3 linked regions of the Oryzias latipes genome follow. The protein of the gene in region 2 purifies or fractionates together with the protein of the main gene of each other region. This does not show direct contact. Links are inferred from orthologs where the notes say so. Each region holds a gene or a part of one and is shown on either strand. Other genes may lie near its edges.

What was found. Proteins that work in one complex are often made in the same cells at the same time.
Region 1: the proteins of dnmt1 (region 2) and ehmt2 purify together in Homo sapiens (affinity purification with western blotting; 3 studies listed by BioGRID, with this or other methods). This does not show direct contact. The link is inferred for Oryzias latipes from reciprocal best matches to the Homo sapiens genes DNMT1 and EHMT2.
Region 3: the proteins of dnmt1 (region 2) and ezh2 purify together in Homo sapiens (affinity purification with western blotting; 6 studies listed by BioGRID and IntAct, with this or other methods). This does not show direct contact. The link is inferred for Oryzias latipes from reciprocal best matches to the Homo sapiens genes DNMT1 and EZH2.

What each region holds. Positions count from the first base shown.
Region 1 is NC_019869.2:5,424,690-5,428,189, forward strand, and holds part of ehmt2 (histone-lysine N-methyltransferase EHMT2), read right to left. Parts: intron 3,136-3,500; coding exon 3,049-3,135; intron 2,356-3,048; coding exon 2,219-2,355; intron 2,050-2,218; coding exon 1,906-2,049; intron 1,647-1,905; coding exon 1,324-1,646; intron 1,245-1,323; coding exon 1,011-1,244; intron 146-1,010; coding exon 63-145; intron 1-62. UniProt on the Homo sapiens protein: Histone methyltransferase that specifically mono- and dimethylates 'Lys-9' of histone H3 (H3K9me1 and H3K9me2, respectively) in euchromatin.
Region 2 is NC_019866.2:8,448,179-8,451,678, reverse strand, and holds part of dnmt1 (DNA (cytosine-5)-methyltransferase 1), read right to left. Parts: intron 3,406-3,500; coding exon 3,218-3,405; intron 2,920-3,217; coding exon 2,905-2,919; intron 2,180-2,904; coding exon 1,999-2,179; intron 1,917-1,998; coding exon 1,819-1,916; intron 1,573-1,818; coding exon 1,428-1,572; intron 1,355-1,427; coding exon 1,239-1,354; intron 1,161-1,238; coding exon 959-1,160; intron 875-958; coding exon 741-874; intron 655-740; coding exon 475-654; intron 383-474; coding exon 158-382; intron 56-157; coding exon 1-55. UniProt on the Homo sapiens protein: Methylates CpG residues. Preferentially methylates hemimethylated DNA. Associates with DNA replication sites in S phase maintaining the methylation pattern in the newly synthesized strand, that is essential for epigenetic inheritance.
Region 3 is NC_019878.2:3,242,524-3,245,021, forward strand, and holds the end of ezh2 (histone-lysine N-methyltransferase EZH2), read right to left. Parts: intron 2,224-2,498; coding exon 2,142-2,223; intron 2,075-2,141; coding exon 1,994-2,074; intron 1,920-1,993; coding exon 1,835-1,919; intron 1,642-1,834; coding exon 1,581-1,641; 3' UTR 501-1,580; downstream 1-500. UniProt on the Homo sapiens protein: Polycomb group (PcG) protein. Catalytic subunit of the PRC2/EED-EZH2 complex, which methylates 'Lys-9' (H3K9me) and 'Lys-27' (H3K27me) of histone H3, leading to transcriptional repression of the affected target gene.

The DNA of each region.
Region 1 (3,500 bases), on a different chromosome or scaffold from region 2:
TTAAATACTCTTATTAGGTAGAAAGAAAAATTAAAGATGATAGTTTGTGTCAGTAAACACACTCAGCATCAGCAGCACTCGTTGTCCCTCCCCCTGCTTGGCGGCTGGATAGAGCTGTCGGGGGTGAAACCTCAGCTTCTTCCTCCTGTGGAATAAAAAAAAAAAAAAATCATTTTCTTATTTTATTCTGAAAGTTTGTATCGCGTTTCCTACTGTAGTCGTTTTGAGTTCTTGGGACCATTTTGTAAAAAATGAAAGCATGGAGAAGCATATTTTCTGGACAATAAGCAGACGTTTAAATGTGTGGAATATTTCCGTTCACAGCAGTAGTTGGTAAATGACTGTTTCTTTGTTTGTGCTTTTTTTTTAATGTTTACATGAATGATCGTTTTTCTGCAAGAGGAGCAATGACTAAACTATTTTAGCTGATGGAAAAGGTCACAGGACCCATCAGAATATATTTCATGCCTCTTTTAAAGTGTGTTTTTGTGAAAAAGATGTTTAAAGATTGGAATATTCTGAAAAATGTGCAGCCCTCACATGTTATATCTCACTAATTTAAAGTTATTCTGGTTAACCTAAATAAAAAATGTTTTGGAAAACCACTGAATTCTGCAGGATGTGAGCTTAAACATAGAGAGATAAGTATCAAAAATGTAAAAAATATAATAAAATATAATATGTAGAATATCATCATCATGGTGCATACTTGAGAATATTACAGTTCAGTTTCTTCAATTTAAAATTCAAATAAGGTTCATATATTTGTGTATATTTGTCTGTTTATTTGTCTTCAGTCATTTTTCACATTTGTGTTGCTAAAAATGTTTTTTAAACACACATTTGTCAAAACATTTTGAAAATTTGACTATAACTACCGGTAAGTATTTTATTTTAAACTGATTTAAACATTTTTTTTGAAACAGTTGCATTTTAAATGTAGTTCAAATATGTGCATTTTACAGGTTTATTAAATCCTCAGTGCAGCTGTATGAAACTGTAAACCAGACCTCTCTGAGTCCTGTGTTAGGATCGCTTTCTGCAGCGCCGCCCTGCTGGGTCCTGGTGGAAGTGCGCTCGGGCAGACCGGCTTCCCATTCGGCATGCAGAGCGACGGCCCCACGCTGTCCACTCCCTCCTCTCCTGGAGGGGTGGTGGCGGCGGTTACGGTCGCTGCAACGGGCGCCGACTGCGGCGGCTGCTCCACGGTCAGCGTGAAGAAGCCGTGGCTTTGCATCCGAGCGCTGATGAAGAAAAACACAAAGCATCAATAGAAACCACACTTTCACAAGCAAAGGCAGCCATAAGGTCATCTGAGCTCACCTAACGGGTCTTTCCGGCATCTTCTCGTCCTTCGTGCCTCCTGTGGAGGCGTTGAGGGAGGGTCCCGAAGGGGCAGTCGGGGGCAGCGATGGCGTGGTGGTGGAGGAGGCGGACATGGTGACGACTGTGGCGGCTGAGGTTGCGGCGGCGCTGGAGGAGGGGAGGGTGATCTCCTGAGCTTCTGAGGCATCTTCCCCACAGTGGGGGCAGAAAATCATCCCGCCGCCGTTGGCTCTGCTGCGCCCGCTGCTCAGCACGGTCACGCAGCCGCGGTGGAAACGGTGGGCGATGCGCTGGTCAGGACAGCACTCTAGGAACGTCCCCTGCAAAAGAAGAATTAAAAATATATAAATGAAGAGAATGGACCAAACCTGACCAGGTTTGAGGTGGACAGACAAAAGAAAAACATCCTCTGAAAATACAGAAAAATTAAAAACAGGATTAAGCAGAGTCTAAAGAGATGAGGAGAAATATATGAAAAATGAAGATTTAAAACAATCATACAAAGAGGAAAACCGACGGATTTCTAACTCGCCACAAACAGACCAAATATTTCAAACATCTGTTCCTCCTCACACTTACTGCTATGCAGAAGTAGCCACACCCTGGGCAACAGTGGTGCTTGACCATGTGTGAGCGATGGACGTCGCAGAGCACCATGAGGGAGACCCGGCTGGATGGTCGCATGGTCTCACCTTTCACGGTCCAGCTGGTGCACGCCCGCAGCTGAAACGCCACGGAAAGGTGGGACATTTATGTCAAACATAAAAATCCTTTATTTTAAGGAAAAAACTTCCAAGTTTGAGCTGTCTGATGAACTTTTGCGTTTCATTTCTCCATCAGTTTTATTTTTTGTTGGATTTGTTATTTAAGAGACGAGGGTTGGTTCCCCGACCTCTCCGTTGAGGCTTTCCGTGGCCATGCACTGTCTGCTGATGCGCTGGCAGCTGCTGTCGATTCGAGGAGCCTCCATCCTGCAGCTGCACAGGGGGAGCTCCTCCAGCCTCTCCGTGTCGCCGGCGTCGCTTCCTTCTGCAGGGAAGATGGAGGAGAAACCCACCAAGATCTGAACATGTGTCCTTTCGATTGTCGTAAAAAGCACAAACACAAAATGCTTCAAGACTCATTTTGGAGAAAATGTTTGCTTATTTCTGAAGCTCACTTTAAATGTTGAAGTTTAAAGTGATTTTAAACTTCAACCGCTCATGCGGTTTTATTACCTCCATGAGCTACACCCCCTTCCCACCCCACCCTGAAAAAACACTTGTTTAAAAAGCTTTTATGTGGGTTTTATCTCCATAGCAACCATTATATGTTTGATCTTCTGGGGTGACGAACAGCTCTGTGTCATTTTTAGACAAATCTGCAAAAGTAAACTTGAATTTCCTTGGCAACTGAGGTTTTTTGTTAACCACGCCCACATTCCTAGTGTGTTTATTTTGCATGCTATAGCGTTTCATTCTTCTTGAGCCGACAGTTCTTGAATTAAATGTTCACAATATTCCAGTAAAAATTGTGCAAACAAGAGATGACATTCCCTCTTGCGAGCTCGCCGCGCTAACGCCGTTCAAACGCGAAGCTACCCAATGGTGGTCGAGGAGTTAGGATTGAAATCCCTAAATTTGTAGCTGGTACCAAAGGTGATGTATCATTGTTTTCATTTAAGACGGCAGCCTCTACTCGAGGTCAGAGGTCAACAAAAATGTAGTTGTAGACTAAACCCACCAGGAGGAGGGGAAAGAGTTAGACTGTCGGCAGCTGCGATGTCCAGGTCACCCAAAGGAACCTCGGTGTATTCGTCTGCTTGTTCTTCTGAAGACCAACAGAAGAGCAGAGCAGTCAGGAGATATGAGAGGATCAACACAACAATAATTCCTACAGTAAAATCATTTATCCTCTCCTTTTAATGCAAAACAGTTGTGCATCTTGAAGATATTTTTTTAAGATTTGTTTAAAAACAGTGTTTTTAACATGTTCTTGTGGCATTTTTTTCTCATAATGGGGACACATTTAATGAAAATTAAGTATTTCTTCATTTGAATCGTTGTGAAACAGGAGCAGACGGAAAAAAAAGTCTCTGATTTGAATCAGGATCATAGTTTGAAGTAGAAAATGTACTGGGCGGGCTCCCAGCTCTCAGCAACGGGGAGGAGAAGGGAAGGGGGGCGGCGTTGCTC
Region 2 (3,500 bases):
CTGGTTAATGTCAGCATGGTAACTCGCTTTAACACCTTTGTGAGTGTTTTCTGGTCTGGGGGGTGAGGAAAAACAAAAAAAACAGTAGTTTATTTCTTTAATACATATATCTATATAAAAAAAATTTCAGTAACAGATTTTCAATTCCTTTTCCTACCTGTAGAACTTGTAAAGTGTCAGTTTGACGTCTGCAGTGTCAGATTTTCCGTTGCTACGGCGATGACAGAAGATCTCCTTGATGCGGCCGACACGGAAAGGCTCCGGAGCATCCAGGTTTGACCCTTTGATGTAGTCTGAGGACTTCCGGTAGTACTCGGGATACAGATCTTCATCCACGTCCTCCTTCCTGTGGGAGCGCTTCACTGGGCTAGCAGGCTTCATACTAAACGCAGAAAATATAAGGTGGAAAACAATAATCCAATTTAATTTTGTGCCCTGTACATAAGAAAACCATTTGAAATACACAACACTCACTTGAAACTGAAGGAGTCAGGAGGCAGGTAAACTCCATCTCCAATTTTAAACTGCTCGCCTTTGAAGCAAGCCAGCGCATACAGAACCTTTGTGTCGCCGCTTTCATTCTCTAGAGGTTCGAGTGCTTGAGGCACTTCCTGCTCTGCTCTCTCTTTAATGCGAGCACAGCTGCCACAGAACCTGAAGGTAAAAGAAAAGAAGAGGAAGAGTCAAGTTTAGCCATCGCATCAAAGAAAGAACATCACAAACATCAGAACATCAGTCACCTGTACTTGCAGTCCTCTGGTTCTGAAGTCTTGGGAGGAGTCTCAAATCGGGCAAACTCTGTGTCATACCAAAACTGGTAGAAAAAACTCTTCCCATCATCCTCAACCACCTTGAGGTCAACATCCATTCCACCCTAAAACGTTAAACGTCACATGTGAACGTTTCTGAAAATGACAGCATGAATCTGGAAACTTTTGATCAGCTTTGATCCACTGACCTCCATGAACCAGTTGTTGGAGGGAGCTTTGTACATAACGTTCACTTTTTCATGGACATAACTGAGCAGCATGTCCTCGCATTCATCCACGACGACGAGCTCCAGTGGATCAGAGGATTCTCCGAGCGCTGTGTGAATCCCTCGAAGGAACCAGTGAGCATGGAAGGTCTTCCCGTGGGAACCCTCCCACATTGAAGTGATCCTGAGAGACAATACACGAACGGAGGTTACTCCTCTGTAAAACAAAACATCACCAAAGTACACCTTTTCTTTCTTGTACCTGGCCAGATACAGAGGAACGGATGGATCATCAGATAAAACCGAAACGCAGTCTCCCACTTCCAAAACCTCATCATTGACGGACACTTTCTTGTAGTAGTGTTTCTTCCCCTCCGACTAAAGCCAAACAGATCATTGTCAGTTACATTTGTGGCTTAAGTAAATCAATCAAAAAAACTAAAAGACATACCAGTATAGGCTCTCCGATCCATGCAAGCTTGCACTGAGTTTGTTTCTTCTTCTTGGTGTTGGCGTCCTTCTTTGCCTTTTCTACCAAAACATCTTCCTCAACAATCTCATCATCTTCAGCCTCTTTTACAGCAAGATTAGGGCATCTAAACAGCATGAAAAGAAGGCCATCAGAGAGTTTAATAGATCGGATTTCTCTGTCGCAACCACAACAAAAGTATGAAGAGTTGAAGCAGAAGAGACACGAGGATTTCTGTAAAAAAAAATATTTATCCTGCAGCAATGATTGTAGCGGCATATACGGCAAAGTTAAACTGAACCAGAACTTTTTTCCCATCAAAACGTTTGTGATGACTTGGACTTCCCACAAAGAGATCCTCAGACATCCTCACCTTCTCTGTTTACAGGCTTGCTTGCTTCGACCGCTTCCTCCAAACTTGATCATATCTTTGCAGGCGGTACATTTGCCGCAATCAGGAGACTGGCAAACCTAAAAAGATTCCAGTTTGTTAGATTTGGAGTTGTAACTTCACAAAAAACAAACAAACCAAAGAACACAATAACCAACTCACTTCACAAACGCCACAACGCTGCCTTTTGAGCGCACTCTCTTTATCGTTCTGCTCTATCTGGTCAGAGAAGAAGGCATCGAAGATCTGGTAGACCAGTTTAGTGGTTGTTGCCTTCGTCGGTCCTTTGCTGTCCTTCTCGATCTTCGTCGGGTGACGGATGGCTTGTCTTCTGGCAGCTCTCCTATCAACAAAACAGAGTCAGCGTTTAGAGGAGAGGCGGGTTTTGGAGCAGCACAAACACAGGATCGTATGGTGAGGGATGGAACTAAGAAGCTCCTGGCCGTAAACACACCACAGCATCAGGCCATGCAGCAGTACAAGCAAACAAAACTTAACCTTTGACCTTTGGAGAACTATGGAAAAAAACTTTAAAGATGAAATATTAACACTTAAACAGGATTTTTTTTCTTTGAAACTCTTTACCTCGGAAAATTTGTCAGAGAAATAAATCTAGTGATAATTCACGGCTTTTAAAATTTTGAAAGTATAAAACGTGAAATAATTTTATTTTGGAAAGACTTTTTTTTAAAAATTACTCTATTACCTTGAAAATAAAGCCAACTCTAGGCCTATTAATTTACCTCAAAACACAAATAAACATAAAAGATAAAAAAAGAAAGGAAGTTCTTAAGAAACATTTTCTTCAAGTTTCATGATAGTTTCATTTTTTTTTACATTTCTGACCTTTGACTTAAAATAATTTTGTTTCATCCCAAACTATTCCAACAAAACTTTACAAAAGCAAATCACACTGAAAGACCACAATATAAATCAAAATAACTGAAAATGAAAATAGTTTAAAAACCATGTATGTGTCTCAGTGTGAACTCTGTTCACTTTCTAAATGTTTGACAGAAAAACACCACATAGCAGAATAAAGATGCAATCACAGCAAGAACCACCTACCAGTACAGCAGCGTGCTGCATTAGGAAGTGTTAAAAACATGTTAGACATCAGGGAGACAAAGACTGACGTGCAGAAAATTAAAAAATAAAATTTAAAAAGGGTTCAATCTAAATACAATTAAGTGTTTTTAAGGATACATGGTCATAATCCCAAACTGTTCTACTTTATTATACAATAGTCGGGCAATTAAGTATCCCACCAAAAGGAGAGACCCTTTTTTCTTTTTAACTTTGAGGTGATGTCACTTAATTATGAACTTAAAAATTCTTAAATATAAATTTATTTACAAGCGTCTGAATGTATTAACTGTACCTTTTCCCCAGAGTGACTCCTGCGAGTTTGATGAGGTCTCTCATGCAGGGAGTGACGATGATGGGCTGCTCATCCGAGTCGCCAGCCTCGTCGTAGCTCTCCACCTGTTCCACCACAAACTGGGCGTGGCGCAGCAGAGTGTCTTCAGTGAAACAGTTGAAGTTTAGTCCTGCAGGAGGAACTGTTGTCTGAAAGTAGAAAAAGAAGATAGTCTGTCAAGATTCACATTTGATAAGGGGGGGGGGGGGGGGGGGGGGGTGTTAAAAAGAAAAACTTTAACTGA
Region 3 (2,498 bases), on a different chromosome or scaffold from region 2:
CTGAGTCATGCGACCACACAGACCCACCAACCCGACGAAGAACTGCTCCCCCTGCAGTGATGGAGCTCCAACCTCCATCAGCGCGATCGCCTGTCCCGTTCCATCCGTACGACTCGCTCGCTTCATCCTTTTATTGTAAATAAAGACTCAAAGAGGAACAAACAAAACCTTCTCTGCATATAGTGCAAATGTATGAAGTAGTCTACAGCCAGTCAGGAGAGCCGCATCCAAAGGTTTCTGCATGCTACTGCCTACCCGCACCACAGTGACCGCCACAACGCAAGGATGACAGGAGTCACTCGGGATCCAGCCGCCGCGGCCACATCTCACATGGGTTCATGCAGGAGGCCAGATTCATCACTGAACGGTGGACATTTGTATAGTGTGGTTCATTTTCTAAATGTGTGATAAATAAAAACAGATTTCTCTAAACTGCGTTTCCTTCTCTGACGAGTTTCACATCAGGAGCATTTGACCTTGAAACAGCAAAAGCCAGAATCTCAACGTTTCACAATATTTTATTCTGCATCACTTTGAACAAACAAATCCCTGTAAACAGTAATCAGCACCTATGTGACCGGACAACCAATCTGAAGAACGATCACGGAGAACCAACCGGACAGGAAAAGGAGGAACACAGAAATCCTGCCGGTGAAGAAGCACCACGTGAAGCCCTGAAGTCTCCCACCACCGAGTCCATAAATTACAGGTGCAGAAGAAGAAAGACGTTTCTCAGCAGGAGAATGAAGCTGGTGCTGCTGAGAGGTCAGGGTTCAGAGGGTCTACAAGCACCAGAGAGCAGAGAAGAGGAATGCTCTGAAGCCCCCGGCTGACATCTTGAAGAGGCAGTGAGCTGGTCTAAGCACCGAGGGGGGGTGGAGTCCAGGTGACACGGTGATTGTTCATGAGACGAGGCACAGCAGACAGGGACATGCCGGCTTTTTCCCATCAAACCTTTCATCATCTGGAAGATGGAGAGAAACTGGATTGTCAATCAACAGACTCCTGATGTGAATCAGTTTAGGATTCCGATCTGTTACACTCCAGCAGGTTCTTTTCCCCTGCTGGATCTGGTTCCAGAGCGGAGAACCAGCACCAATAATCTGATTCCAACTGAACGCAGTGTCAGTACCAATGTGGGGACAGATGGACAATCAAAGCATCAGAGGAACATGACAGAACTGCTTCAGCTCCTGTTTGGTTTGAACGAGCAGCGGCGCTGGAGCGTGTGCTGGTTCTAGCACCTGAAGGAGGTCGGTCCGGATCTGAGAAGAAGAAAGAGGGCAAACGGTTCTGCTGGAGGACTTCGGTCCCTGAAGAGGAGTTTGTCTTTCCTGTGCCAATATTTGGGGGATGTTTACGCCGTGAGGCAAGGCCTCACAGGAGGGAACATTCACCAGTCCAGCAGTCCCAGAGGAGAGGGGTTTTAAGAGGAAAATGATGAAACACAGAGTCCAAATATTCCCAGTTTTCCTGAAGAGCGGAGTTTGGAGAAGCAGCCTGGTTTTCCTGAAGTTATTGTGTTGCTTTGTTGTTAAGGCCTTCTTTGTGTTGCAGAGCCACAGAGGTAGAGGTCGGGATCAGGCGATCTCCATCTCGCGCTCGATCCCCACGTACTTCAGGGCGTCCGCCTGGCTGTACCTGCACAGAAGACGTCCACAAACAGCATCAGTCTCCCAGCTTTACCTGACGGGAACTCGAGGACACATCTGGTTGATGTTTGGAAGACTAAGTTCTTCTGAAACTACGTCTCACCAAAACAGGAAACGCTGATCTGTTTGTGTCTAACGATTATAGTGGAGCTGCAGGTGAGAACTGGAGGTGTTGGACTGACCTGTAGTCAAAGAAGAGCTCCTCTCCGGTCTGGATGGCTCTCTTGGCAAAGATGCCGATTCGGTGATCCCCGTTCACCATCATCACTGCAGACAGCAGAAGAGGGCCTCACAAAAGAGCCTGAAGCCAGTGACGGTCGCTAACAGTCTCGCCCCCTTACCCTTTGCATAGCAGTTGGGGTTGACCGAGTGGTTGGCGAAGCGGATCTTGTTTCCTTTCCTTGTGGCATCAACCACGAAATCTGCAGAGAAAAAGGGTTTAAGGCTGGAGCCGCACTGGACCTTTGGCTGCTCTGGGACCCGTCTCACCGTTATTGAGGTTGAAGAGGAAGCTGCACATGTATTTGTCGTAGACCTTCCCTCTGCGGTCTGCCTCGTCCTGCGAGATGATCTGCAGACAGGGGTCAGAGGTCAGCCTGTGCTGCAGGTGATGATGGTTTTAAAACCTTGCTCCATTGGTTCATTGGTTCCTCTAAATTGCCCCTAAGGGTGCATGGGTGAGTGATCTGTGGCGACCTGTCCAGGATGTCCCCTGCCTTCGCCCGCGACCCCGAAAGGGACAAAACGGTTAAGAAGATGAATTTAGGATTTCCTATACACAAGGCTTTTTCCCTGTAATTTAATCTAGCACTGGATTTTCTGTCAAATAAAAAAATCCTCAGAAAA